Linked DNA regions of Notamacropus eugenii. The protein of the gene in region 2 purifies or fractionates together with the protein of the main gene of each other region. This does not show direct contact. Links are inferred from orthologs where the notes say so. Each region holds a gene or a part of one and is shown on either strand. Other genes may lie near its edges.

Region 1 (6,963 bases), on a different chromosome or scaffold from region 2:
CAGGAGGAAAGGGGGGAGGCTGGGCTTTGAGTTGCGTCTGGAATGAAGTCAGAGAAGCTACAAGGTTGAGGTGAGCAGGGATAGCATTCCAGGGATGGGGGACAGCCAAAGCAAATGTGTGGAATAGTGAGATTAGCCCACTTTCAATTCTATGAGCAGATTTTCCATTTTCCTGAACCTCAAAGAAATTCCGGAATCTGTATAGGAAAAACAAAACAAAACCTACTCCAAAGATCCTTGAAAACAACTTTATCTATTACTTCCTACGATTGTGGTCATAAGTAACACTACTCCTACAAACACCCTCCTGACACCCCAAAGCCCACAAGCCACTATTGAAATCTTTCTCTGTAGGCCAGACGGCACCCAGGGAGGGACAGCCTTCCTACCAAAACAGCTCAAGACTTTTCAGGAGAAACTTCCAAGTTTCTTAAGGACTCCCTAAATAAAGAACAAATCCAATTAAAATCAATCTCTTTCAATTCAACAACTATTTAAAAGGCACCAACTGTGTGTAAAAGACCAGTAGACCAGGCACTGGGCCTGAAACTCAGGAAACCTTAAGTTCAAAGCCAATCTCAAACAGTTCTCAACTGTGTGACCCTGGGCAAATCACATAACCTCTGTCTGTTCCCTAGATACAGAGGCAATAATAACAGCGTCTACCTCCCAGGTGGTTGTGAGGATTAAGTGAGATAAAATTTGTAAAGAGTTTAGCATAGTGCCTGGCAGATGGTTATCCCGAGCCACCCTTACCCCCATCCCCAATCCCATCATCAAAGACAACATGCTGGGATATAAAATTTCCAGAAGTACTAAACTAACTTTTAATAAACTTCAATTGGAAATTAAACAACGTGTTGTAACACAGAATAAAGTTGTTTGGCTTGAAAATTTAACATCTAGCAGAATAGACTCTTTAAGATGCATAGTGTTTCCTCCAGGAAACAAAGAGCTACTAATGATAGCTAAAGTTTCCCCTCCCCTTTCCTTGGAAATAATGAAGTAATAACTTAGAACTGGTGCCCAAAAATAGATAACCTTGTCTAACTATGTTTGGGGCAAAGGAGTAAACAATCAAAAGATCTGGATTCTCAATTTCACTGTCACTTGCCAAAGGACCCTGGCCAAGTCCTTCTGATTCTAGGTTTACTCACCTCAAAATGGGAACGCCAACCGCCCTGCCTATGCCATTGGATGTTTTGGGAATTAAATGAGACTAGAAGCATTACTGCTATTTCTACTACTTGCCAACAACTATGCCTAGGCCCACCATGAATCTTCTGGTCAGTGACAGATTTCAACATGCCAATTTCATGTTTTCAAATTTTGGTAACAAAGCCACAAAACGGAGGTAAATAAAGTAGATAAGTTTAAATAGGCATTTAAACTAAAAATGAAGCAACCACATAGAGGACACAAAAGGGCGCTGAGGAAGAGCTAGGAATATGACTACCTCTGTCTCTTATTTATAAAGAGATGTCTACTGTTTTGAGACACTCAGTCTTGTTCTAAACCAAAAGCAAGCTGGAGTAGGGACCTATATGCATTTGAGAAAAAAACATGAAAGGTATTCAAAGCCCTCTTTTTACAATACTTCAAAGTAATCACGAAATTGACTCTGATAGGTGCAAAGTACTGAGTTTTTCTCCCATAAAAGGAATTGAAGCAATAATTTTCCAACCCCAAAATATTACAAAACATTATGTGCATTTTGTAGGATTTTAGTTCCTATTTAAGGCTTGTAATCTTCCACAAAACTGCAGCATTATTGAGTGGACAGAAAGGGAAATTTGGCAACAGAGCACCTCAGTGCAAATCCTTGCTCAGTCGCCTATGTGACTATGTGACCTTGGGCAAATCTTTTCCCCCCTCTGGGCCTCCTTTGCTCATCTGTAAAAGGAGATGGCTGGACTACAGATGATCTTCAGGGCCCTCACAAGCTCTAAAACCTACTCTCATGTTTAATCTGGGGCACAGAAGTGACCTTGGGATCTTTAGGTTGGCTCACCTGTAACTTTCTGGACCAAAGCCCCTTACCCTGACACATAAAAAAGTGCTTAACAAGTGATTTTTCATTCATTAAAAGCTACATCAGTAGAAAATACACTCTTACACGTCTCACCTGTCTGGAAGACTTCATATGCAGATACTTCAACAGACTGTACATCCAAGGCTCAACCTAATTTTGTAGAGTCTCATCACTAAAGGTAAAGTCACCATGTTTCTGACCACTGAAACTCATAAATACCATTTATGGAGGCAGAGTAGAGCTACAATCTAGACCCTTTCCTTCCTGAAATCCTTTAAATAATTTTGGTTTAAAAAGAATTAAAGCTTATTTTATTTTCAAAACTGCCTTTCACTTGGGCTTCATCATGAATATCCAAACTTCTGGGGGACAGTGGTAAGAGTTTAAAATTAATTAAAATGAATTAACTAAAATGAATTACTGCAGAGTGCTACCTTACATAAATTTATAGAAGCATACAGAATATACAAATCTATATCAATGCGGATTTACACGTAAACCTATGCGTTCACACAGACATCCTACATACAGCAAGTGCACGGGGGGACAAGGAAAAGCTACTTCTCTGAGTCCCCGTCTTTACCCACAGGAACAAAGGTCTCTCCGGCTCAGCCCTGCGGATCTGTTACCAAGGCAGGCAGGACCGGACTGGACTCAATAATTCAGCTCGGACACAAGAGAAAAATAAAGAGGGAACGCAGGACGTGAGCAGGAAGCCGCCTGTAGAGTTGGGACGGCCGGGACCCGAGGGCTGCTTCCGGGCCGGGCCGGGCGCACGGCTCTTCCGGGTTCTATTTTATTTATTCTATTCTGGAAGCCTGCAGGGTGAGCTGGGCTAAAGGAGGCTGCCAGGAAAGATGATCTCTGGAGAGCGGGGACGCCGGCACGAGTGGAAAAACCGGGGCGTCGGAGGCAGGAGACGCGGAAAGATGAAGCGGACCGAGGGAACCCTGCCGGAGGGGGAGGGGGAGGGGAGCGGAGGGGGGAGGGGGGAGGGGGGAGGGGAGCGGAGGGGGGGGCAGCGGCCGGAGCAGGAGCAGCCAGGGCTCCCTCCCCACGACCTTCGCCCCCGGCTTCTCACACTCTCAGCTCCTCCAGCCTGAGGACTGTCCGCTTTTTGCCTTTCCGGGGATCCCGGCACACAGTAGGCGCTTAAGAGATGCCCCTTGCCAGCCCCTTGCCAGCCCCCGCCCCCAGGTCACCGGCGCCGGGCCCTGCCCTGCCCCCGGCTCTCCGCGGGACGCTCCCGCCCCCTCCCTTCCCCTCCCCCCGAGCCTCCCAAAGTGGGTGTATAGACAAACCCCTCCTCAGAGGCCGGAACCACCGTCCCAGGCCCCTCCCACAGGAAGCCGCCTCCCCCCGCCTCAAAAGCCGGCAGCCAAGCCTCGGCCCGCCCCGGCCCGGGCTGCCCGACCCTCCCGGGGCCCGCCCGCCCGGCCCGGCTCCGAGGCTAGATCCCTACCTGCAGCAGGCCAAGCAGCGGCGCCGAACTCCTCTTCTACTTCCGCCTTCGACAGCTGGAACTCGGGCCGGGTCAGGTGGCCATTGTTGGTCACCTGACCCGGAAGAGGCGAGCCCGGCCCACACAAGTGTGGGCAGGCGAAGCCGAGAGCGCTGGAGGGCGCCAGGAGTTGGGCGGGGCGGGGGCGAGGCTTGCGGGGAGCCAGCCCCTTTCCCAGTTTCTTTATATTTATTCAGAATTAACCTTGAACTCGAGCTGCAGCCCGCTTTAGAGTCCAAGCTCCCTGAGGGCAGGAGCTCCGTTTGGTTCCTTGTTATGTTCTGGGCTCCATCCCCAGTGCCAGGACCCACAAGAGGCATCTTTTTCTTGGAGAAAGTTCTAGAATGAATGAATGAATGAGAAATAATTTGTTAAGCGCTTACAGTTGATACTGTACCTAGCTGGGGATACAGATTCAATTCAATCCAATAAACATTTATTGTCTACCCGGTATTGGGGCGACTAGGTGGCACAGTGCTCTAGTCAGGAGGACCTGAGTTCAAATCCAGCCTCAGACACTTACTAGCTGCGTGACCCTGGTCAAGTCACTTAACCCTGTTTGCCTCAGTTTCCGCATCTGTAAAATGAGATGGAGAGGAGTATAACAAATCACTCTAGTAGCTTTGCCAAGAAAATTCCCCAAAGGGGTCAGGAAGACTCAGACACAAGTGGAAACAAGCAAAAAGCAGCATTCCAGGGACTGTGCTCCGTTCTGGGGATACAAAAACAGGCACCAGACATATTTATGGGACAGTTCCACTTCCAAAGGCATTCACCATATTGGGGGTGATTCCAGCTGCTGAGGGGGGTTATCCAAAGGACCAGGGGAGCCTTTCCTGTGGGGTGAGAGGAGGCAGGAAACATTACACCTGTAGGTTTCAGCCACATGAGCAGTTCTATTGATTTTTAATTATATGTTTTTTTCAATTAACAAGCATTTATTTTCTACATCTCCTACCTCAGTGGGGAGAGGGGAATTGAGAAAAGAAAGACGGAAAAGCAAAACTGCACGGTCAACAAAACACATTTTCACAGTGTCCATGTCTAAAAACTTACTCCTGGAGATGTACCATGGTTGCCTCCTTCTGTCGGGGTGAATAGGCTTGCTAGGTAGCATTATTCCTTATGTAGGAAACAAAGGAAAGAGTTCTGTTTCCACAGGGTAGAAACTTCCAGCTTTGAGTGATAATAGTCAGACTAGTTGTAACCTAGCACGGTCAGGTGAAAAAAGTTAGAAACTTGCAAGAGAAAGCAGGGGTTAAATGTCCATAAAGGTTGTTAGCCCCTAAGGTTACTGAATAAAAACTGCAGGAGACCCTGATCAATCAGAAAACGGTTAGCGGCTTTCAGAAGGAAATTGGTCCAGCTTAAGCCAGCTGGAGTCACTGGTAGGGCAACCTAAAAAATCCAGCTGTGCTTGCTTAATGACATACAGTGGGCATGTCAAAAGATTGTGACCTGAAAGAGAATGGACCAATCCATCCTCTGGTGGGAGAATCTGTCCTTCACTAACATTATAAAAATGCATTAGCTTCTGTATCTCTCTCTCTTCCCCTTTTTGAAGAGTCTACTTTGGCTAAAGTGTTCAATTCCTCTGAACTCTAATACATTTTTCTTCATACTTTTTCAGTGTCAAGCATGTTTCTAACACTTATCAGTTCTATGGAACAGTGATCGTAAGTTTTCTTGACTGTTCAATAAAAGAATGCCTATAATAGGTGGTCAGAAATTAGACTAAGTAAGAAAAGGAAGATGATGGACAGAATTTTCCAGATACCTGCTGTTGCCAGGCAGCATGACCAAGAGCAGGATTAAAGCCACTTTAGTTCTATAGTCCCTTAAGGTTTGCAAAATGCTTTACATATATCTATGTAATAACCCTGTAAGGCAAATGCTATTATTACCTTCAATTTACAGATTAAGAGAGTGAAGGTTTATGAGGTTACAGGACTTGCCCAGGGTCACACCATTAATAAGCCTCTAAGGCAGGATTTGAATTCAGGTCTTTTTGACACCAAGTCCAGCATTCAACCCATCTCATTGACTTAAACCTCTCCATCCACCTAGCATGTTAGCATGGATTTAAACGGGATGTGCACAGCACAATGGGATGTGCTGACTCATTTCCCAGCTGACCACTCTGGACTTTTCCCACACCCCTTTGTACTTAGTTCATCACACCCCAGGAACCACATCATCCTGTAAAATCTCTTCAGCCTTGTTACTCACACTTCCTCGGTTCTGATTGGAAGGCAAAACAAAGAGCTCCTCCCAAACCCTCCAATTAAGGGGTACCAGGCAAGCCAAGTCTTCTTTTCCTGCTGGACTGCATACTCCTTCGGACTCCTCTCACAGTCCCCCAGCCCCACCCCTTGTCAGTTTCCTTTGTTGTCTTCCCAAGTTAGATTCTGATTTCCTGTAGTATACAGACTTTCTGTTTCCCATTTTTATCCCTAGAGCATAGTAGGGTGCCTGGCATACAGTAAATGTTTATCAATTGTTGTTGTTCGCCCATGTCCAACTTTTTCGTGACCTCTTTTAGGGTTTTCTTGATAAAGACATTGGAGTGGTTTGCCATTTCCTTCTCCAGTTCATTTCACAAATGAGAAAACTGAGGAAAACAGAGTTAAGTGACTTGTCCAGGGTCACATAGCGAGTAAGTGTCTGAGGCCAGATTTTTAATTCTGGTCTAAACAATTGGAAAAATATTAATTGCTCATGAGCCAATATAAAAATGACAGTTCTACCTAAATTAACTTATTCATTCAGTGCCATACCAATCAAATGATCAAAAATTATTTTATAAAGCTAGAAAAAAATAACAAAACTCATCTGGAAGAACAAAAGCTCAGGGATAGCAAGGAAATCAATGAAAAAAAATGCAAAATAAAGTGGTCCAGCCATACTAGATTTCAAACTGTATTATGAAGCAATAATTATCAAAACAATCAAAAACAGACTAAGAAATAGAATGGTAGATCAGTGGAATAGATTGGGTACAAATTACATTATAGTAAATGACCATAGTAACCTAGCATATGATAAACTCAAAGATCTGAGTTTTTGGAACAAAAATTCATTATTTGATAAAAACTGCTAGAAAATTGGAAAACAATGTGGCAGAAACCAGGTATATAGACCAACATTTCATACTATATACCAAGATAAAGTCAAAATGGGTACATGATTTACACACAGAGGGTGATACCACAAACAAATTAAGAGAAAATTAAACAGCATATCTGACAGGTTTATGAATAAGGGAAGATTTTAGGACCAAAGAAGATATAGAGAACATTACAAAATGTAAAATAGATAATTTTGATTATATGAAATTTTAAAGCTTTTGCACAAACAAAATCAATGCAACCAAAATTATAAGGAAAGCAGAAAACCAGTGAAATTTTTTTGCAACAGGTATCTCTGATAA
Region 2 (7,347 bases):
CCTCTGAAAAAGCAGTCCAGGAGAGACAGAAAGAAACAGGTAGATAAACAGCTGCTTCTCTTCTTTGGTACATTCACTGCACATTGTTGTTCACAATACAGGGATCCACCTAGAAGGGAAAAAAGAAAGATGGTTTTAGATTTAGAGGGTAGGAGAGAAGCAGGGGAATCAGAATATGTAAGTTGGGAACCCCCACCTCCACCTTCATTCAATGAAGGTAATAATTCTCACCTCAGTGTAAGTGGGTGGAGGCATAAACTTGAACTGGGATGCATACATAAAGATGGGGCTGTCCAGAGAGCTATCATCAAGGAGAGGAGTGGTGGGGCTCTCCAGTCTGTGATCTTCAGGAATAATATCCGTGTAGCAAGGAGGTGCTGCATAGAGAAAATAGAGAAAATAAACAACTCAGACAACCAAATTCTGATTTCCAGGAATCTTTGGTGGGAAAATAGGAGTACAGGGGTATACTACTTTGGCTCACCTTCTGGAGTGTCAGGGATGTTTAGATCCACCCAACTCATTTCAGAGCTGGTTCGGCTAGCCATGCTGGATGTCCGACTACTGAGTCCTGACCTGCTGCCGATGACTAGGGGCAGGTCAAGAATGACCTTCTTAGATCCAGGGACACTGACATAGATCTATATATAGGAAAGAAAAAAATTGTTTCTGTTACACCAGAGTGCCATGACATATAAATATAAAACTGCTTGATTCAATGATCAATTTACCCTAATCCCAGAGACAGACTCACTCACCAATAAAGAGTATTCAACACGAAGGATGTTGCAGCCAAGGATGGAGGGTTTAATCTTCTGTACACGAAGGCTTTTGCCACGCCATGATTCACAGGTGCCAGAAATGATATGGTTGCCTCGAACAGAAGATAGCTTTTGGGTCAACACCTTGGTCTGGCCATTGGCAAGGTAAGTGTGGCGGGCAACAATAGCAGCCTTTGGCATAACGATTCGGGAACACGTATTCTCAAAGTCAGCATTGATGGAGATTTCATCACCTGACAAAAGCATTGATTTTTGTTACTAAAGACTGTATAGCTGATGATTTATGGCTCATAACCCTTCCCCAACACTATGCAATAGCTGCCTCTCCCAAGCCCAGACTTCTCTTACCTTCACAAAATCCTTTTCGGTCAATCCGGGCAGAGACAGATACCCTCCCATCAGGAATAAACAGGCAAGAAACTTTTTTCTCCTTTTTGGCAGACACAGGTGCCTGAATAGGGAAAATAAAGAAATCTTTGTTAAAGTTTCTGAGAATTGCCAAGTAAAGATGGCTCCTGCTTTTCATTATGAGGACCTCTATCTCCTGAGATTCTAGTCCATTATCATGTAATATTAGATAAGACCTGCAGTATCATCATCTACCATAATTATACTCTCCTCTAAGCTCTGCTTGAACATCTTTGTCAATGGTCATGACAACCAGGTTTTGTAGGGTTTAGTGAGACTATACTGCTGTCAGAAACTTTAAGAGTTAAATGTTTATTCACTTTCATTTTAAGCTAAAGATTAGATTTTTATTTTCAGTATACGCCTTGTCAAGAGGCAGGGTTCCTGCTTCCTAAGATCTCTCACTACTCAAGACTTAAGCCTATTGGGAAAGCTTACCATCAAATCAGGAGTATTAACATCCACTGGATCTACCACTTCAAAGTACTTCTTGGTTTCTTGAGTTGGCTGGCTGGGACGGTCTAGGAAAGCCTTTACCCAGTAGTCTACACAGCCATACTTCCCCTTGAATGAGGTTCCCAGAGGCCTAGGGTGGAATAAAGAGAACGATTCCTTTTAGATTACTCAACCATCAAGAAACCTTGGGTGCCTAAGGGAAGGGAGGTTTTAAAGAAAAGGACAGCAGAGCTAACACCTACCCTTGAGGAAGTTCAAAGCCGAACTTGTACTCATACTTGTTTCCAGGTCTCAGGATCACAAACTCATCGTTAGCTTCAGGGAAAGGAAAAAAAAAAAGATCCACCATTAGACTTACTAAAAAAGTGGTACTGATCTTATTTTAAATGCAGAAATGCCTAAACAATATAAGGACCATTTTCTGAAACTAACTACATTCCAGTCTCCCGAAAGGAAAGGTTAATGATGTAAAGGAGTCCAAAGCGCCGACCCTGAAACCAGCTCTAACACTGAGACTTCGTTAAGCATCCAAGGCACTGCAGCTTAGCTCAAGCGAAGGCTGGGAATACTCCTCACTTGGCCAGATGCAAGGACAAAGATTCAGCTCCCCCCGCCCCCCCCCAGAACAGTGCCCCAGGGCTCCCTTTCTAACAGCTGGGGCCCTCCCCCCACCCCCGCCCTGCAGGGCGCGCCCCTTACCTGCGGGCTGGTCTTCCAGCAGGAGCGTGTCCTCGTAGCGCAGGTAGTCCACCACCTGCTTGCACTGCTGCGAGCCCTGCAGCCACAGCACTTTGGCCACTCCGCAGGCCAGGATCCTGACCGCCTTGACCCGGGTCACCTCGCACACCTCCACCACCACCCGGCCGGCCACCTTCTCCCCACTGCTGTACACCTTGTCGGGGTCGCTGAAGACCACCTCGAAAGTCTTGATTTTCTTGAACATCACCATAGCTGGGGGTTGGGTCACTCAGAGAACGGGGCAGACAAGGAATAAAGTTTCTCGAGAGAGAGAGCCGAAGGAGGATTTAACCTTTCCGGTTAAGCGGAGGACGGACAGTTCGGTCTCCCTGGTCTGGATGGGCTTGTCCGCTGACAGGCTGGGCGCTTGGATTCTAAGAAATCGAAGAGCCTCTCAAATCAGCCTTTGCAAACTTTTAAAAAGTAGAAAAGCCTAGAAAATATAAGTCAAGGGACTTCGAAAGAAAAAAAAGGCTTCGTGTCTGAGACCAAAAGGAGTTTTAAGGAAATGCCCCTCCCCGAAATCTGGGGACGAGAAAGCACAGGTCCGAAGGCAGCGCTCTAGGGATTGACTCAAGGAGCAGGCGGAAACAGCCCTATATAGGGCTCTAACTGTCGGAGCCACGCGAGGGCCTGCGAGGTGGCTCGTGCTGTCCTCGTGCACAATCTTCCCATTGGCTGCCTTTTCCTTGTTTACCAGGGACACAGCCAATCAGCGCGCGGCCTGGAGCGCGTGGACACAGTGTGCCCCTGGCGGGGTAAACGGTTGTTGTGCACGGTTTCCTCCGAGGAAGGAGGGGGCGGAGGGGTTCTTGAGCGACGTCCCTGGAGACAAATGAAAGGAGGGCGAAGGGATTGCCCCTAAGCCTATCAGCGTTCTAATAGACGTCGGAGGGCGGGTGTTGATGTCAAGGACTGGCGTTTTTGGGTGAAAGGGGAAAAGCCCCCCAGGGGCATGGCAGGCTTCTCTTTAGTGCGCGAGGCTAACTTTAGGGTAACCCAACCTTGCTCAGGCCCCTCAGATCTCGAGTCATCTCTGACTGTCCTCTGTTCACCCAATTTAGGCGACTTTCCTCAAAGACATTCCCACAGAAACCCTGGAAAGTTCTCCATTAAATTGAGAATTGAAGGAATGGGGACGGAGGGAGAATTCCTTTTTCAGGCAAACCCTCCCCAGAAAACTTAGAGAAAAAAGGGGGGGGTCACTGGTGTCTGTCAACTTTCTCTTCAGTCTGAGCCCCCAAATTGGACATTGGGGGGCGTGAGTTTTCTCACCCCCCTTTCCTTCAGCTCCTGGCTTCCTCACAAGGATTATTGCCTTTCCTCACCTTCTTTTCCCCCTCCCCTCCTCAACCACCCTGTTCTTTTTGAAAGGGAAACAAGAAGGGTGTGTGGCTTAACCCCCCATCTCTGCGTCGTCTTTCCCTGTAGAGCAGGGGGGACACTGTGTCCATGCCCCCATGTACCTGGTCGCCCCTTTGAGGAATACAGCGAATATAGTGCGTTTATCCCCAAGCATCTGCTTGGCCAATCTTGCTTCACACCTGACAAAGCCATAGGATCCTCCACCCATCTCTAATGCCTGACCTAAGCGCTCTCTGAGCCAGCTGGCACCCCCTGCTCTGGCACCCTCTGCCCTCCCTACACGCTCCCGCAGCCCCCCAAAAAGGGGGAAAACCAACCTCAAGATGAAGGAGAAAAACTTGTGTCTCAGCTCATGGAAGAAGCAATCCTAAGCACAACAGAACAGTTGTTTTTTTCAAGTATATATATGATTATTGATCACTACTTTTTCCAAAAGCCTTTAGAAAATGAAGAAATGAAGGGAAGAGGAAGCAGATTTGGAAGTCTCCAGAAAGTCTAACTAATATCCTATTGTGTGCTGTGCTTTCAGGAGGCTTAATTTGGATCTCTCTATCAGGTGGGTTTTCCCCTGAATGAGTTGGCCATAAGATCTTAGAAGATGACTATTGAAAGTTAGTCCTACTAAGGCCAAAAACTCTGTTATAATTAGAACTTTTATTTTTAGATGCAGTTCATCTTTCCTTTCTTAGGCTCCCTGTCTTTTCTATTTGTGGATATCTGAAATTTGCTTCAGTCCTCCTGGTCAGAAGGGGATGCTGATGTCCAAAAGTCTGAGAACATATAGAAAGGCAGTAGAATGGAATGGAACCCCACTTCCTCCACTATTTTTTTCCTATGATGATAAGGACCTTAATTCCTTCATCTCACACCCCAATTGTGATAACACCCTCAGGCTAGCAAATTACAATCGAAGAGGAGAAAGTTCCGGGATGAGGCTTGATGACTTAATTGGTAAGAAAGAACGGAATTAGCCCCAGGAACATCTTGATCCCAGGGGGTGTGTGGGTTAGAAGTAGCACTCTGTTGTACAGTTACCTAACAAAATAGAGGGTGTTTTTGTCAGTGAAGAGCAGTGATTGAGTTCCCAGGTCAGTCTTGGTGTGATGTTTCACAGTCCTTAACGCTGAAGGATTTGCTTTTAGATAGTAGAGAACGAACAAAAAGAAAAAAACAACATAAAAACACAAAATACATCAGACTGTAAATTAAAGTTTAATTATTGTGCATATGAGTATCGAAGGTAGAGAAGAGCTACAGAGTAATTGAAGCTGTAGTATTATAGAAGACTTCTTGGAGAAGTTAAAAACACTGATATTTATCTGGGCATAACCATGAAATGCTGAATCCAACTCTTTTTCCATATCCTACAATAAATCTGTCTTTGTCCTGGGTATTTTTCTTACGTATTTTTCTGTTATCGCCACTCTTTGCAGACCTGAGTGGTATGGATATGCTCCCTGTTATGCCAAGCTTGCCTTGAATGTCAAAAAACTATTTAGCTTTGGCAGTAATAACTTGCCAGGGCCTTCGGCCAAGATATTTTCTGAAACGGCACCCTCAACAACAGGGTTGTTTACAACCTTTCCCTTGATAACCTGCTAAAAAAAAATAAAATCAGCCTCCAGAATCTTCCCCCCAGTTCTTGGGTTGAGGAAAGAGAAAATTCTGCAAATTCCTTTTCCCAAAAGAAGCGCATTGAGGGTACAAGAAGGGGATAAACTTGGGAGGGGCTGCACAGTAGTGCTAGGTACAAGAACTTTGCATATTAGTGCACCTTTTTCTTTTCAGGCCTCGGTTTTCTTCACTTGAGTCAGAGGGAAACTAAAAAGTGATTGTTGTTTGTTTGCTTTTCTTTGGGTGGAGGTGTTGAATACAAGCCAAGATCTTAAGGAATAAGGTGTCCTCACTGATTAGTCTGCTGTTGGGCAGAGACAAGTTACAAGCTGCCCTGTTCAACCTCAGGCCTTGGCCTCAGGGATTTAAGAAATCTAGTAGCCTCAGCCCATGAGTTTGTTGCTCCACTATGCACCTCCAGTTGTATTTGTGACTCCCAATATCCATAACTTCCCTCTCTGACTACTCATTTAATTTCTTTCCCTCCTTCCTCTCCCTATCCCTCCCCCACCTTTTTAGAGGGAATTTCACTTTAGGGGAAAATAGGAGGCCTGGATGAAAGAGAGGGCATCTCATAACTATGAAGATTGACCTTGGTGGTAGTAGTAGAGTTAAGGATACTTGTAAAACAGAATTGAATTTGGAAGAATTTTTTCTAGTGTAGACTTAACCAGGCCTCTATCAATATTCAGTGAGAGCCGTGAATATAGGACCATAAGGTCATAGATTTAGAGCAGGGAAATAATTCAAAAGACAGAGCATTCTTTTTGTTTCCTATTCTGTAAAGGGATATGCTACAACTAGTTCAAGTCCTCATTACTTCTTAACTAGAATACTGTCTTATCCTAATTGGTTGCCCCTTCTCTAATTTATCTTTGAAACTACTATCAAAATAATTTCCTTGTATATAAGATGTTATTCTTTTTAAAAAAACCTTTAGATGCTCCCTGTTGTTTATTGAATAAAATATATGCTTCTCATCCTGTCATTCAAGACCCCAACATAGCTTTAAGCATCATCACATACTAGTTCCCCCTGCACTTTATATTCTACCCTAAGTAGATTTTTCAGTGATTCTCAGCTTTGTCTTGCCCTTCCTTCCTTGCCTTTATATATGATAGTCCTCAAAATAAAGCCCTCCTCCCCCCCCTTTTTTTTTTGGACCTAGCCTCTCTTTGAAGAGTGCCTCTCATTATTATATCCCTTGCTTGGGCTTGGCAGCCCTGTGCTTTTCTGAAAATGTATATATGCTATGTTTATATAGCCAACATCCTCTAGCCATTTTGTGATATCAGAGACAGGAAAACCACTTCCCCCAATAAAACTCACAACTTTTGCCTGCACCCTGGGTGTATGTATCCCTTCCCCAGGTGTCCTAGAGTTGCCCTGCTTGTATCCATCCCTTATTGCTCTTGGCTCTCTGTTCCTGCCCCTGGGTATCTCCTTATACCTTTCCTTATATGAGTCAAAATGTAGTCAAAATAAAGTTTTATTGTTAAGCATTTACTGTCTTATTCTTTTGTGAAATTTTGGAGATCTCAAACTGCTATGTCACTAGGACAGTATATTTATGCACCCTGAGGCAGTGAAAAGAACAATGGATTTGACATTCAAAATCCTTCACACGTTGGCCCTATCTACCTTTTCCGATCTCTTAAATTTTATATTCCCACACCCTTCCATTAAGTGACTTTGGTTTTCCTGCAGTTTTTCTAACAAGACACTTATCTCTCCAGTTGGGCATTTTCACTGGCTATCCCCATGCCTGGAAATCTTTTCTTTGTCATCTCTGTCTCCTGGCTTCCTTTAAGTCTTAGCTGAAATCCTACCTTCTACAAGATGCCATTCCTCATTCTCTTTAGTTCAAATTTCCATACTGTCTAACCCAGTGGACAGACAACTTCTTGAAAGCAGGAACTGTTTTTTGCTTTTCTTTTTTTCCCCAGAACTTACACAGTGCCTGGCACATAGTAAACACTTAACC
Region 3 (7,909 bases), on a different chromosome or scaffold from region 2:
TTTTTTTCCAAGGTAACATCATCCAATCACCAGGCTGCAACCTTGCAACCCAAATGTCATCCTGGATTCCACACTTTCACCCATATCCAACTGATTGCAAAGTTCTGTTTCTACCTTTATAACATCTCTTACATAGGCTCCCTGTGCTCCTACACTACCACCACCCTGGTTCATGATCTTATTACTTCATGCACCTGCTATTGCAATACCCTGCTGATTGTTCTCCCTGCTTCAAGTCTTTCCCCATTCCAGTCTACCCTCCACTCACCTGTCAAAGTAATCTTCCTAAAACAAAAGTCTGACCATGTCAACACCCCCTTTAACCAACTCCAGTGCCTCCCTATCACCCCTAGAATGAAATATAAAATCCTCTTTGACTTAGAAAGCCCTCCATAACCTGGCCCCTTTCTACCTTCCATTTTTTTTATACCTTACCTACCTTCCCCCCTCCCCCATGAAGAAACTGAGATCCACTGACACTGACCTCCTTTGCTGGATTTTTCCCCCTCCTGAACTTGACACTCCATTTCTGGATTCCAAGTTTTTTCAATGGCTGTATTCCACAACCTTAATTCTTCCTTCTCAACTACACCTCCTAACTTCCTTGACTTTCTTCAAGTTATCAGCTAAAGTACCATATGCAGCAAGAAGACTTTAAAGATTCCCCTTAATGCTAGTGCCTTCCCTACCTTAATGATCTCCAATTAGCTGTAATCTTGTTTGTACACAGAGGTTTGTATATGGTCTCCCAAATTAGACTGTAAGAACCTTAACAGAAGGGATTGTCTCTTGGCTTTCTTTTTATCCCCAGCATTTAGCAAACTGCCTGGCACACAGCAGGTGCATAATAAATGAGTTGACAGACTAAGGGCATGGAATTTCATTTTTGTCTTTCTTTCTCAACACGGGACACAATGGCTGAAACATGGTTAGTCCTTAGTAAATACTTGGTGACTGATTTATTGTAACTCAAAATGATGCTTTTGGAAGACAAAACCTTTTTTACATTGAGTTATAAAAATAGTACATTATAACCATACTATTAACGTTAAAAACAAAGGAATAAAATTTATGCATTATTTCTGTATCTCTTCCAAGGTCCAGGAACTTAAAAAAACTTACATAACTGTATTTCAATATAATTGGTTTTCTAACTAAATAGGCAGCGCAGGGGATAGAGCACTGTACTTGGAGTCGGGAAGTCCTGAAATTCAAGTGTGACCCTGGGCAAATCACTTAAAACTTCTTTCTGGCTCAGTTTCTTCAACTGTAAAACGAGAATAACAAGAATTCCTAACTCAAAGGATTGCTTTGAAGATCAAATGTGAAAAACATTTGTAAAGCCCTTAGGACTTAATGTCCAGCACACAGTTGGATCCTCATAAATGATTTTTCTCCCCACTCCCATCCCACCACCCAAAATGCTTGTTCCTCTTTCATACGTATTTATTTTATGCATTTAAAAACATTCTGAGAAGGGGTTTATAGGCTTTATTGGACTACCAAAGGAGTCCAGTGAGCAGTCCCTATCAGTTCACTATTAAGTTTAATTTTTTTAAAGCTAACTAGCTAGGAATTATTATAAAGGTCACTTCTATGAAAATTAACTTGTCATTAAGTATTTTGCTACTTAAAATCACCCAAATCAAAGTCTTTCTGAAAGTCACTTTCTTTTGAATGTTTGATACACTGTACTTCTGATTTCCCTGTTTAGTTTAAATTAACAGACTTAGTGGGGCAGTGTGAACCTAAATTAACAGTTTTCCACGTATGCCATTTTTCAAGAAGCTACAGACTAAAATAAACCTATATGTGCAGTACACACTAGATGTTTCTGGTTACAGAAGTCAAAATAATTTCTTTGTAAAGCTTCTCTTCTTCACACCTACCTCTAATGTACTTTATGTGTTATGTGGAAATAGAAATCACTTCCCGCTTTATTCATGTTTGCCTACACAACACAAAACATTTTAAAAGGAGAAATCAAAACCAGATTACTAGAAGTCCAGAGAAGCAGGAATGCCAAAGCAAATGGACAATGTTTCTTCGTCAATGTCTAAGACAACCCAAAGCAGACACCCCCAAAGAGCGCTCCGATGCCAAAGGGGTGATGGAGAAACGACACGGACGAAACATTGGGAGGGGGAAGGGAAAGAGAGAGGGAAGATGATATTGTGGAGATGAATAAAAACGGCAAGGTCATGGGGAACCGCAGGGTCACAGAAGGGGGTGCGCCAGGGGAACGGCGCGGTGAAGTCTGCGGAGCAACACCAACACGCCACGGAAAAATGCTGGGCTCGGGTGGGCGCCCCGGACATGGAAGGTGAGGAGATTATTAAAAGGGCGACCGAGGGAGAGGCAGAGGCAGAGACGGAGCAGAGAAGCCGGCAGGCAGCCCGGGACCGCGGGCGCACGAAAACACTCTCCCCGCTCCGGGACACGAACGCGGGCCTCTGGCGGGTCCCATTCAGGAAAAGACCCACGAACCCACTCGAGAAGGAGGACGAGCGCCGCCCTCCCCTTCCCCGGAGCCCTCCTTCCCGCCCCCTCCCCGCCTGGCCCGAGGGGGTGGGAGCACGGGGGCGGCCAGGGGACGGGGAGGGCCCGAGCCCCGAACCCCAGCCCGGCCCGCGAAGGGACGCCCGCTGCGCCGCCCGGGCCCCGCCGCCCGAGCCCCGCCGCGTCCTTACCGAGGCTCGCGGCCGGTCCGCCTCCCTCGCCCGCCGGCCCGGGAGGTGGCGGCGGCGGCGGCGCCTCCTCTTCCTTCAGTAGCCGGTGGCGGCTCTCCTCACCCCTCGGAGTCAAGGATGGCCATCTCCCAGCGGCACCCGCCCGGCGTCGGCCCCTCGGCGGTGCAGGCCGCCTGCAGCCGCACGGACCCACGGGCAGGGGAGACCGCAGACCTTGGGGCCCCCTTCCCCCCCACCCCAACCCTCAACCCCGAACCCCGCACCGCCCGAGTCCAAGCCCACACCTCCTTCCGCGGGAGCGAGCGCCGTCCGTCCCCTAGTCCGCGGCGCCGCGCCCCGAGAGCGCGTCCCCGCCCCCCGTCACTATGCCCGGGAGCACGCGCAGCGGCGCCCCATCCACTCCCCTCTCCACCGCACTCGGGAGCGCACTCAGAGGCTTTCCCCCTACCCCGCCGTCCTCTCGCGCGCGTCCTGCCCGGGAGCGCGCGGGGCGCCGCCACGGCCGCCGCGGACAAATCCGGGCTGAGCCAGAAGCCGGCTCTCTGAGCATGCGCAAGAGCTTCCACCGGGACACGGCTCCGAGTGAAAGCTTTAACTTGTCCTGGTCTTCCCAGCAGTGAGGGGGCGTTGGGGGTGGGGGGCGGAGGCCGTAGCGAGCGCTGAGCGGAGGACTGAACCTGAAGAGGGGCGGAGCTCCCGCGGAGACCCGGGAAAGGAAGCGGGGCAGAGCCGGGGCTCCGACTCTCAAGTTTGCCAGCCGGAGCGCTGGCTTCAGTTGGAGAAACCCGAGGCACGGCCCAGCGGCGGGAGCGGAAAACGAGCGGGACGTGACCCCAGGCCCCGCGCGAAGGACGGTGTCCGCCACCTCTGCTGGATCACCCCGCCCCCCGGGAGGCCCCAGGCCGGAGCACCTGGCCTCACCTGGCCTCACCTGGCCACGACCGGCGACCTGGACTTCAGCGGGATCGCTCCGCCAGGGGCACTCGTTCTTCCATCTGCAAGTCGAAAAAGCGTTCTCTTTGCAGATACTTGCGGAAGTTAAAGCCGTGGCTCCTTCCCTCCCCCAGCTTTGCGTGATGAAGGCATTCCTCCCAAAGTTCTGCGAACGACAGCCCCGGTCTGAGCTGCCTCAGCCGAGGCCTCTGTGGGAGAGGGAATGGGATTGAGGCGGCCCGGTGCACCCGCTCTTCAGAAATAAGGGAACAGCCCCAAGAAGGAATCCCCAACAAGCAGTGAGTGTGTGGTGGCTGCCCACGTGTTCTACCCGCGCGGCGTGGGCCCGGGCTGCCCCCGGGTGACCAGAGATCCCGAAGGCATTTCAGGAGGAGTGGAGCTCCACTTCTGTGGAGAAGAGAGCCCTGTCCGTGTCCTTCAGTGCATTTGCAGTCTAGGGGTATGGCGTGTTGGGGCTCAGGATTGCTAGGGGAGAGAGGAGGAAGGCAAAGTGCTTGAGTAGTACCAACCCAGTCTAGCGGATAAGAACAAGTTTCATGTCAGCCAGCTTAGCTCTCCTTCCAACCCTATTACACAGAAGAAGATTGGCAAACATGTAACTGTATCTGATACATTTTTATCACACTGTCCTAGTTTAGGAGACCACCCGAGCCCATTCAGGCACAGGTGCTACAGTTATAATAACACTATTAGCTAAAACGTAGTGTTTAAGGTTCGCAAAATGCTTCATATAGACTATTGATAGGGTACAGGCTTCTGGGAACCCCCTTGAACTCTCCTTGAATCTTCAGTGGATCTGGCCTGGCCCTAAGCCTTTCATTACCTCCTTGTCTAATTGCCTCTGGTTGCTTCCCATCCTTGATCCCATCAAAATACCGGTAATCTAGCCTAGCCCTCCTCTGTCTGTTAGCTCTGGACTGCCTCTGTCTGCTTCCCATCAAAATCCCACTGTCTTGGTTTTGACCTCTAATCAGCCCAGTCCCATCAAAGCCTCCTTAGACTTCTCCTCAAACCCTCTCTAAGCCCCTCCTCCCATCACCCCAGACTATCTGGCCACCCCTAGATTCCTCCCATAGCCTTTCTGTATATAAACATCTTGCCTCCCTGAAGGTGCTAAGATTCTATCTAGCTCGGATTCAGTCTGGCCCATTTGTCAATACAAGTGTCACAAATGCTTAGGTTCCTTAAGAGTCTACCAAATATGGCCGGTATTTAATAAAATTTACTTTTCTTTGGCTGAAAGAAGGCTTGAGTCGAATTCATTCAGACAGGACCTGGCGTGTTGGTATTTTGGGGTCCTAAGCACCCCTAAGCCTCAACACAATCCCATTTGATCCCCACAGCAACCCTGTGAGGGAGTTACTATAATTATTATAACTGGTATTTATATGACACTTCAACGTTTGTATTGTACATATTTTATCTCTTTTGGTCTTTGTCACAACTGTATCTTAATTGATGTGTTACTTGGTAAATATTAAGTTGTGGGTATAGTCACATAGGTATCATCATCATTTTAAAAACTAAGAAAATGAGGCTGAAAGAGATTAAGTGAAGACTAAGGTCACATAGTTGGTAAATGTCAGAGCAAGATTTCCACCCAAGCTTTCCTACTGCTATTGAATGCCTACATATCCAAGATGATGTGAATCAAACCGTGGGAGATTCTGTTTGTCAGTCCATACTTCAAAACCTCAGAGATCTGTAATGTCATCAGTATAGGTATATCCTTCTCTGCTGCAGAGTACTATACCTCTATAATTTAATAAATGGTATTTCAGAGTTGCCATGGCCAAAAATTCATCACTGTTTGGCCAACTAGATAATAGACCTCTCTAAAATTAGCTAAACTTGTCCTCTGACAACAGCTATAAAGCCCATCACAAGACCTATTCTTGAAAATTTTCCAGCTTCAAGTCCAACTTGAATCAGTAGAAATATAAAATTCCAGAGTTGGAACAGACTTCAGAAGTCATTTGGTTCAATTTGTTACATTTGAAAATGAAGGTAAACTAAGAGACAAAGTTCCAGGTATCATTAATTTATTAGTTAGGCCAACAGTAAACAATAAATTGGGTCTATGGTGTCTCAGTAACCAAAGACCTTGAGTGAGGACTGACAGGGTCTTTTGTAACAATTACTAAGATGACAGAGCAAAATCTTGAGCAGTACAGATGTGTCTTCTGATTGGCTATTGATGACATAGTCAGAATTAAGATTATATCATTTCTTTCTCCCCTTCTAAAAGCCCCTTGTTGTTATTCAGTTGTATTTGACTCATTATGATCCCATTTGGGGTTTTTGTAACAAAAATATGGGTGTGACTTGCCATTTTTACAAATGAGGAAACTGAGGCAAACAGGATTAAGTGACTTGCCCAGGGTCACATAGGTACTAAGTGTCTGAGGCTGGAATTGAACTCAGGAAGATGGGTCTCTCTTGCTCCTGCCCCGCAGCTGCCCCATTTACCACAACCAAGATAGGTGATTTGAGTCACAAGATAAAGATTCTCCTCAAATGGGAGTTGCTACAATAGCTTAAATTGATGAGATTTGACCTTTTAGGTTATTCAAGTTTCTTTGGAAAGTGGGTGATAGGTGGGGTTACAAAGATAGGGGTAATTACAAGACAAAAGGTTGACCAAGTTTCTCTGGGATGTGGTTAGTGGGTGAAGGAACAGTGAAAGGGAATATTAAATACATCTTGATTACAATTTAGCTTAATAGAATTAAAATAAATTTTCAATTTTACATTCTTAGTCAAAGAAAAATTCCCAAATATAAATTCAAGGCACTGTGTCAAGTATTATGGCTAAAAAGATTAAAATAAAGTAGACTTTGCTCTCAAAAAGCTTATCTGCTGCTGGATAAAAAAGCATATATACAAATAAATGAACACAAAATGCAAAACAGGTAAATTATAAAGTGATTGGAGGGAGGGGAGTGCGGAGGTTGAATAGAGCCCTAACAAATGGGAGATCAGGAAAAGCCTCGGATTTGAAATAACATCTGAGCTGGACCTTGAAAGGAGCCAGCGAAGTGAGTGAGGGCATTCAAGATGTAGGGAGAGTCTATGCAAAAGCCTAGAGGTAGGAGATGGAATGTTGTATCTACAGAACAGCAAGTGGGCCTATTTGACTGGCATGAAGAAGTTAACGTAAAATATCTAGAAAGATAGACTGGGACGAGATTATGAAGGGCTAAATATCAAGCAGAGGAATCTCTGAATTTTTATCTTAGGGGAAATAGGGAGTCACTGGAATTTCTTGATCAAGGAAATGACATGATTAGAACTTTGCTTTAAGAGTACCAATTTGGGAACTATATAAAGAATGAATTTTAGAGGGAAGAGACTGGAAGCAGATGACAAATTAAAAAGCTATTGCAACAATCCAATTGAGAATTGACGAGGAACTGAATTAAAGTGGTGGCCATAGGGAGTAGAGAGAAAGGGAGAAATATTAGAGATATTGTAGAAGTAGGATGAACCATTTATATAAACCACAAAGCACTCTTTACAGAAATAAAAGGAAACAAATAATTGAAGACATTCAGTGGTTGTGATTTAGCTTTGCCATTGTAATAAAAATGATGGCACTACCTAAATTAATATACAGATTTAACTTTAATAGCTATTAAAGCTTAAAACTACTAAGACATTTGGGACATACATCATAAAGCTAGAAAGAAATAACAAAATTTATCTAAAAGAACAAAAAGACAAGTGTCTCATGGGAAATACAATGAAGGAAGCATAACATTATTAGACCTCAGACTACATTGTAATTTAGTCACAATCAAAACCAGTTAAAAAATAGAAAAGTGGGTTAGTGGGACAAACTAGACAAGCAAGAACAGGAAGTGAACAAATACAGTAATCCAATGTTTAATAAACCCATGAACACAAATTACTAGAATTCCTAATTTGATAAGAATTACACTGAAACACTCTCTCCTCCTTGTCCTCTACTTTTCAGCTCCCTTTTGTACGTTGTCTTAATAAAATGTAAGCTCCTTGAGGCAGGGTCTGTCTTTCTTTTTGCTAGCAGAGGGCCTGAAGCATAGTAAATAAGCATTTAATAAATGCTTATGTTACCTTGCCTAACTAAGAAAAGTTGAAAAAAAAAAGTTTGACAAATTACAATTTAGACCAACATTTCACACAATCTATCATAATAAATTCCATAAAGATACTTAACCTGAATAAAAAGGTCACAAGATTTTAAAAAATAGGGAATGGACAGTGGTACCTTTCATACCTTTCAC
Region 4 (7,741 bases), on a different chromosome or scaffold from region 2:
CCAAAGTAATCCCTTTAAGTGAACCTTCATTTTTTCATTTGTTCCTGTCCACACTGTCAATCTAGTACAGGGCTTGGCAAATATCAAGCCTAACAAATACTTGCTGAATTTAAATAAAATATGCCCACTTGCCGCCAGCTCTTCTATCTCAGGCATAAGACTGAACCAAGCTTCCAGTAAACCTCATTTTTGAATAAGGAGTTCTTCTGAAAGTAAATGGAAAGTATGTGGTACAGTGGATAGAGTCAAGGATGAACTGGGTTCAAATCTCCCTCTCAATCCCATACTAGCTGTGTGGGGCAAGTCACTTAACCTCTCAGTTTCCTCAACTGTAAAATAGGGGTAAATAATCCTGCCTGGAAGAATTAGTGTAAAGACCAAATGAGACAATAATTGTGAAATGCTTATCCAGTGCCTGGTAGTACATAGTAGGTCCCACATAAATATTATTATTATTGTTATGTACAGCCAGGGAGTATTCCTTTCAGGACAAGAAAAAAAGATATCAAGATATTAGGATTTATAACCCAGCACTTCCACTTAACAATGGTGTTACCAGGGACAACTAACTTCCCTCTAAGGCTTTCTTAAAAAAAAAAAAAAAGAATCGAGTGCAAAGTGAGAGGATACAAATACAAAAGCATGGAACATGTACACACTCCCCACTCTCAAGGAGTTTACATTCTGATAGAAGACAGGTTACACAGGAGGCCAAGAAGTCTGAGAGGATCCAGAGGGAAACAAGGCTGCCACACCCCATAGGAGAGCAAAAAAAGTTTATTTTGATTATCACTCCAAAGCTGGAAAGGGAGAAGCAGAGAGATGAGAAGGATGGGAGAGAATAGGTATTTGATCTGGTTTAGAGGCACTGGGCTACTTATTGACTCAAGACCGGGTGAAAGAGAGAATTGTCAGAAATTAAAGTAAAATTAAAGTGAGCTATCATTAAGCCCTCCCAATTCATCTCTACAATATGAAAGTTAACAAGCATTCATTATGAGCTTACTAAAAGTGTTATAAATACTTGAAAAATAATGATCACCCCCTTTTAGAGGGTTGGGGTTTTTTGTTCTCGTTCTTTAACTCTTCAAAGCTTTTACATCAGTTCATTCCCACAGCAATCCAGTGAAGTAGGCAGGCATTATTATACTCATTTTAAAGACCAGGAAACTGAGATCCAAAGAAATTGTGATGTATCTACCATGCTCACACATTTAAGTTAGTAGAGATCGAGGCTCCTTGTCCAGTGTTCTTTCACTGTACCAACCTTTGGATATGTTTTAGGAAGTAAAGTCTTAAGAGCTCCCAAGGATAATTCAGGCTTGTAAATCAACACATAACCACTCCCATCCCTCGGAACTATCTCTCTGCAACAGGTGCCACTAGCCAAGTCCAGTGCCAGTCTTGGGGGAGACAGATTATTAGGGTCTCATCACAAAAGGGCTGAGGGGTAACAAAGTGTTGAACAGCCCTGACCAGTCACTCACAATGTCTCTAGACTTCCAAAGGAAGGAGTCAACCCAGTTAAGAAGAATTTGATAGCTGGTCCTTTGAAACACAAAGCAATATTTTCCATAAACAGGAGGAGGAATGATTTGTGAATAGAAGTATGGAATGCACTTCTGGAGTTTTCTCTCCTTCCCCCCCATTCTACAGAAGCCTCATGTCTTCAGCTAGGCTAGAGAGCTCAACGGCTCCATATCACACCAGCCCCCAGTTATGTCTTTTCTCCAGCCTAATTCCTTTCCCAAATCTGTAACTTAGACATCTCCCCTTCCACTTCTAGGATACTGCTCCCGACCAGACACCCTCCCCCTTCCTGCCTGGAAGTTTCGACCCCTTGAATCCTTCCCCCCACCTCCCCTCCCTACTCCAGTCCCCTCCAGCTTCCCTCCTCCCATCCATCCCGGTCCTAGCCTCCTGGCAGGCTCCCCTCCCCCCAGTCCAATTCTCAAGAGTCCCCTCCCCCCATTCCTGTTCCCTCCCCCTAGTCCTTTCTTCAGTCCCCTCCCCCCATCTAGTTCTTAAGTCCTCCTCAAACTCCCCCACTCCTGCTCCTCTCCCTCCATAGAATTGCCCACCTCAGCCTCCTTTTCCCTCCAGGCTCCCTACCCCCTTAGCCCTGCCTCCCCCTTTCTTTCCTCTCTCCCTCAGGCTACCCTACCCGGCAGTCCTGTCCCCCCTCCACCACCCCACTTTGCCCGCAAGACTCCTCTCTCTCCCAGTCTTGACCCCCGTTTCCTCTCCTTGGTCCTGCCCCCCCCAGTTTCCTCTCCACCTCAGCTCCCCTCCCCCCCTTAGCCTTCCTTCCCCCGCCAAGTCCTGCCTCTCCGCGTCTCTCCTCCCCGTCAGGCTCCTCTCCCCCCTAGTCCTCCCCCCACTCAGTCCCCTCTCCCCCACCTTAGTGTCCTCCCCTCCGTCCTGACCCCCTTGGTCTCCTCTCCCCCCTGGTCCTGCCCCCCTCAGTTTCCCCTCCCCCCTTGGGATCCTCCTCCCTTCTGCCCCGCTTAGTCTCCTCTTCCCCCTAGTCCTGCTCCCCCTTCAGTCTCCCTTCCCCCCTTTAGGGTCCTCCCCCCAGTCCTGCCCCCCTCAGTCTCCCCTCCCCCTCTTAGTCTCCTTTCCCCCCTCGTCTTCCCCCCCCCTCAGTCTCCTGCCCCACCTTGGGATCCTCCCCCATCCTGCCCCCCTTTAGTCTCCTCTCCCCCCAGGCTCCCCCCCTCCCCCGCCCCGTCCCCTTGGTCCCTTCTCCTCCCTCCAGTCTCCCAGGCTCCCTTCCCCCCAGTCCTGTTCTCTCAGAGTCCCCTCCTCCCAGGTCTGCCCCCTCGGGGTCCCATCCCCCCGGTCTGGTCCCCTCAAGCCCCCCAGCCCTGGCCGGCCTCACTCACCGTCGTAGTAGTAACAGACTTTCCGCTTCGTGCCCTGAGTCAGCGCCATCTTGCCTCGCACCCTCGCGCCAGCCCGCGGCGCCGCACTACGTCCAACCTGAGGGAGGGGGCGCGGTCCCCTTCATTCCGCCCGCCCCCTCCCCGCTCATCTACCAGTGTCCGGCCAGGCTTGACGAAACGACAACCAATCACCCCTCAGCATCCCCACCCCGGAAGTTGGCTCCGGGCTAGGAGGCTGGGAAAGAAGCCGGCCCGGACACTCTCCGGTGATACCACGTGTGAAAGCTGGGGGGCGCCCTCTGGCCACAGACTGTACCACAGCGCATTGAAACTGGGGGGCCGCGGAGGGGCAACCTGGCATTGGCCCTTTCTTTAAATGTGCCTTGAACGTCTGGAGACCTGGGTTCAAGGCGGGGGTGGGGGGAGGCTGCTCCACTCACTGGGGGGAGGGGTGAATTTGAAGAGGGCTTTGTCGTTTAGTGGAAGGAAGTCCTCAGTTTCAGTTGGTAGATGGAAGGTTCGAATCCTGTCTAGACTACTTGCTTGTTTCCTAATCTTGAGAAAATCCCTAAGCCTCAGTTTTCTCCTCTATAAAATGGTATCGGACTAAAGACACCCCCCCCCCTTCCAGCACCAAATCCTATGACGAGAAAAGTCACTTCCCCTCCTTGGGCCTCAATCTTCTTTATCTCATCTGTAAAATGAATATAATGCCTCACTGCCTTGTCTCATGGAGCTGCTTTTTTTTAAAAATAAAAATTGTATTGACATCTTTTGTTTTTATGTCACTTAAATTTCTCCTAGAATTCCATCCCATTCCCTTCCTAAAAAGAGAAAATAATATTTTTAAAGGGAAAAAAGTGAGGAAATCAGCAAAATCAATCAATGCATGGGGGAAAATATTTGAAAATATCTGTCAAATTCAACACCATAGACTTTCTACCTCTGCAGAGGAGCAGAACAGGATGTTTTCTCCAGTCTTCTTTTAGAGGCAGGACTGTTCTTTGTAATTCTGCAACAGTTACTTTGGATTGTCTTGTGGCTGTTCCTTCTGGTTACATTGTTATTGTCACTGTGTAAATTGTTTTTCTTGGCTCTGTTTATTTCAGTCTGCACCAGTTCATGTAAGTCTTTTAGTGTTTCTCTGTATTCATCATATTGGTTCTTTCTTGGAGTACAGAAATATATTCCCTTACTTTCAAAGACCAATTCTTTCACAACATGACTAATAAGGATATGTTTTGCATGACTGTGTGTGTACAACAGATATCAAATTGCTTGCCTTCTCAAAGAGGAAAGAGAGAAGGGAGAGAATTTGGAACTCAAAATTTTTAAAAAATGAATGTTAAAATTTGTTTTTACTTGTAATTGGAAAAAATATTTTAAAATAAAGACTAACCAGCCATTCTCCAGTGAACAGGCATCTACTTTGTTTCCTGTTCTTTGCTACCCCCAAATATGCTACTTTAAGTATTTTGATGTATGCTGAGCTTCTCTTGTCTTTGACTTCCTTGTGACATTTCTTGCTTCCTTTTTTTCTTTCTTTTTTACCCCCCAGACTGTGGGGGTGATCTTATCTAAGTAAGGAATGCCCAGTAAGATAACTCCTTCTACCAAATTATAGTCAGAGAATTGCCTGGGAAAGAGAAGTCTGGAAGGACGCTAAAAGGTTAATTGACTAGCCCAGCAACAGATTATTATATGTAGGTCTAATTTCATTCAACATAAGCACCTACTATGTGCAGCTGCTGTACTCAGTCAAGGTCCCTGTATTCAAATCCTAACTGTATTAATGGCTTAGCAATTGACCTTGGGGAAGTTATTATCCCTCTCTAGGTCTCAGTTTTCCTATTTGAAAAATTAGAGGGCTGGACTAGATAATAATAGTATTCATAATAACTGACATGTAGGGTTTTAAAGTTTTCAAAGTATTTTACCAAAACAATCTCACTTGAGTCTCGTATAATGATACAATGGAAAAGCCTGGCTCTGAAGTCAGATAATCTAGGTTCAAATTCAAAATGTTTTACTTACTTCGGCAAGACTCTCACAATCATCTTAGGTCTCAGTTTCCTTATCTGTAAAATGAGGTGCTTGGACTAAATGGTCTTTAAGGTCCCTATTTTATAAATGAGGAAATTAAGATTCAAAAGAGGGGAGGAGAGAGGCAGAGAAAAGAATAGGCATTTCCTAAGTACCTGCTATGTGCCAGGCATTGTGCTAAACACTTTACAAATATTATCCCAATTGATCCTCACTACAACCATGGGAAGTAGGCACTATAATTATCTCCATTTTACAGTTAAAGAAATTCAGGCGGACAGCATTTAAGTGTCTTGCCCTGGGTTAAACTGCTAGTACATGTCTCAGGTCACATTTGAACTCAGTTTGCTGATTGCAGCTCTATCCACTGAGCCACCTAGCAAGCCAAGCCTCCTGACTCCCAGGGGCTCACTAAATTGGTGCTGGACTTAATATGGACACCCAACTGATTTTAACGGACTACAGCTCAGAACTCTTGCTCAAAAGCAAGCCAGCAATCTCAGGGTTTTTTTTTTTTTCCCCATCAACAAGGATTCCAAGTATTTGCCAGTCGTCCTGATCCGTATCTGGCCACTGGACCCAGATGGCTCTGGAGGAGAAAGTGAGGCTGGTGACTTTGCACAGCCCTGCCTCACTTAAATCCAGTTCACTGGCATGTCATGACGTCGCCTCCCTGATGTCATGATCCTCTTCGAGAATGGACAAACCACAGTAACAGGAAGCCTAGTATTGAAAAGAAATTGTTTGGTGACATTGTTTTTAAAGGCAGCTAGGTGGCACAGTGGATAGAGTGCTGCACCTACAGCCAGGAAGACATGAATTCAAATCCTGACTCATTTACCCCTCTCAGTCTCAGTCTCCTCATCTGTAAAATTGTCAAGATTGACTTAGATAACACATGTTAATTATTTTACGAATCTTAAAAATCAATATATATATTTAGCTATTATTATCATTGCTCTGAGGCTCTAAAATGCTACCCTAAAATAAGCTATCATTATTATCCCAGGATGAGATCAGGGGTTCAGGATGGAAGATTTGCTCGGGAGGGGAACACCATTGTCCAAGAGACTCATCTGTAGTGGGGACTCTCCTGGCTAGGCTCCTGATCTTGCCTCCTAGGGGTTATCAGGGGCTCTCAAAGGGCAAACACTTTTGGTGGAATATGCACAAAGACACCTGAACCTTCCATAGCACTCTAAAGCTCTTAAATCACTTTCTCCAATTCAAACATTTGAGGGGTTTTTTAAAGATGAGAAAAGTGAGACTCAGAGAGAAGAAAGTTTCTCAGAGCAGGGATGCATCCCCAGAAATTCTCAAGATCCTATTCCTACCCTTCCCTCTATCCTACCCATAATTTTAGTCATATCTGACTCTGTGCCCCCATTTGTGGTGGTTTTCTTGACAAAGAAACTGAAGTGGTTTGAATTTCCTTCTTCAGTTCCTTTTACAGATGAGAAAATTGCCTAGGGTCACAGAGACAGAAAGGATGTCCGAGGCTGGATTTGAACTCAGGTCCTCCTGAGTCTAGGCCCCATGCTCTATCCACTGTGCCATCTCAATACTCCACTCTATCCTACCACCCTGTTCTGCACGTCCCTTCCTCACAGCCCAGGGATGAGTGCTGAGGGACTATTTTGGGGTCGAGGAGTGGTGGTGGGTAGAGAGAGTCACCATTCTTAGCTAACATTTATTGGATATCCTTTATGTGCCAGGCAGGGTCTGAGAAAGATGCAGAAATGTAGAAGAACAATCCCTGCTCTCAAAAGGCTGCTAAGAATATGAATTTTATGGAAACTGAGACAGTGAATCCACTCTGGGTGAACACATAGACAAAAGAGTCAAAGGGCTGGGGCAAAGTCCAGGCTTCTCCTCTGGCCCTGAGAAATCAGGGAGAGGACAGAGGTAGGGAGTCAGTCTGGGAGACCACATGTTGGGGGTGGGGCACGCAAAGGACAAGCCCAATGCCAAGTCTTCTGCTGTCTTCCTTCCTCGGCAGGTAATGGAGTCACAAGTGTGATGGCTGAGATGTTGGTGCCCCATACCTCCATCCTGAGGCCCTCTGTCTTCTGCCAGATTCTTCCCTGCCTCAGTCTGAGTGGGGTCATTTAGGAGGCAAGAGTAAAGCTGGGGAGGTGGGCCAGGGACTGGGATGGGAGAGACCAAAATAGGAAGGTCATGGCTGGGGCTGGTACTGGCCCTCTGTGGCAGTGAAGAAGTCCTCCAAGACACTCCTCAGGTAATCAAAGGTGGGCCGATCCTCAGGCCTCTCCTTCCAGCACAGCATCATAAGTTTGTATAGTTCTTCTGGGCAGTTGTCAGGCCTCACCATCCGATAGCCTTGCTCCAGGTTCTGAATCACCTCAGGGTTGGTCATTCCTAGTCATTTTGGGGTAGAAAATAAGTGTTCAGGTCAGGGCTGAGGGGGCTGGATAGTATATAGAATGAGGGTTTAGGAGATCAGAGTCTCCAAGGACCTTAGAGATGATCTAACCCATTTCTCTCCAAGGCCTAAAGATTAAGGGGCCATCTAGAATACATCACAAGTTTCTCATCATCACCCTCTACAATGTCACCAAGAAGTACTCATCCATCACTGTTCTGATTACTTTCCCTTCCCTCCCCCCAATTCCCTCACCTATCCCCAGGAACGTACCCCAGAATTGAAAGAGACCTTTGTCCCCCCACTCTAGCTGGGTTAGCCTAAAGTATGGCCTTAATTCTGATAAAATGGGTCTAAGAAGTAGTTCTGAGCTTGTAAAATGTTTTCTTTCTGGACCCCACCCCTAAACCTGGAGAGAGGTGTGACCGAG

What was found.
Region 1: the proteins of TXNIP (region 2) and WWP2 purify together in Homo sapiens (affinity purification with mass spectrometry; 3 studies listed by BioGRID and IntAct, with this or other methods). This does not show direct contact. The link is inferred for Notamacropus eugenii from reciprocal best matches to the Homo sapiens genes TXNIP and WWP2.
Region 3: the proteins of TXNIP (region 2) and WWP1 purify together in Homo sapiens (affinity purification with mass spectrometry; 4 studies listed by BioGRID and IntAct, counting the BioPlex papers as one, with this or other methods). This does not show direct contact. The link is inferred for Notamacropus eugenii from reciprocal best matches to the Homo sapiens genes TXNIP and WWP1.
Region 4: the proteins of TXNIP (region 2) and HDAC1 purify together in Homo sapiens (affinity purification with western blotting; 3 studies listed by BioGRID, with this or other methods). This does not show direct contact. The link is inferred for Notamacropus eugenii from reciprocal best matches to the Homo sapiens genes TXNIP and HDAC1.

Annotation. Positions count from the first base shown.
Region 1 is NC_092872.1:709,228,260-709,235,222, reverse strand, and holds the start of WWP2 (NEDD4-like E3 ubiquitin-protein ligase WWP2), read right to left. Parts: upstream 3,012-6,963; 5' UTR 2,171-3,011; coding exon 2,126-2,170; intron 1-2,125. UniProt on the Homo sapiens protein: E3 ubiquitin-protein ligase which accepts ubiquitin from an E2 ubiquitin-conjugating enzyme in the form of a thioester and then directly transfers the ubiquitin to targeted substrates.
Region 2 is NC_092873.1:303,293,945-303,301,291, forward strand, and holds the start of TXNIP (thioredoxin-interacting protein), read right to left. Parts: upstream 3,010-7,347; 5' UTR 2,596-3,009; coding exon 2,346-2,595; intron 1,962-2,345; coding exon 1,889-1,961; intron 1,777-1,888; coding exon 1,629-1,776; intron 1,234-1,628; coding exon 1,131-1,233; intron 1,016-1,130; coding exon 759-1,015; intron 642-758; coding exon 485-641; intron 378-484; coding exon 232-377; intron 110-231; coding exon 74-109; 3' UTR 1-73. UniProt on the Homo sapiens protein: May act as an oxidative stress mediator by inhibiting thioredoxin activity or by limiting its bioavailability.
Region 3 is NC_092875.1:168,486,713-168,494,621, forward strand, and holds the start of WWP1 (NEDD4-like E3 ubiquitin-protein ligase WWP1), read right to left. Parts: upstream 3,003-7,909; 5' UTR 2,691-3,002; intron 1-2,690. UniProt on the Homo sapiens protein: E3 ubiquitin-protein ligase which accepts ubiquitin from an E2 ubiquitin-conjugating enzyme in the form of a thioester and then directly transfers the ubiquitin to targeted substrates.
Region 4 is NC_092876.1:77,578,649-77,586,389, forward strand, and holds the start of HDAC1 (histone deacetylase 1), read right to left. Parts: upstream 3,011-7,741; 5' UTR 2,935-3,010; coding exon 2,886-2,934; intron 1-2,885. Other genes in the region: tyrosine-protein kinase Lck, read right to left, coding at 7,105-7,307. UniProt on the Homo sapiens protein: Histone deacetylase that catalyzes the deacetylation of lysine residues on the N-terminal part of the core histones (H2A, H2B, H3 and H4).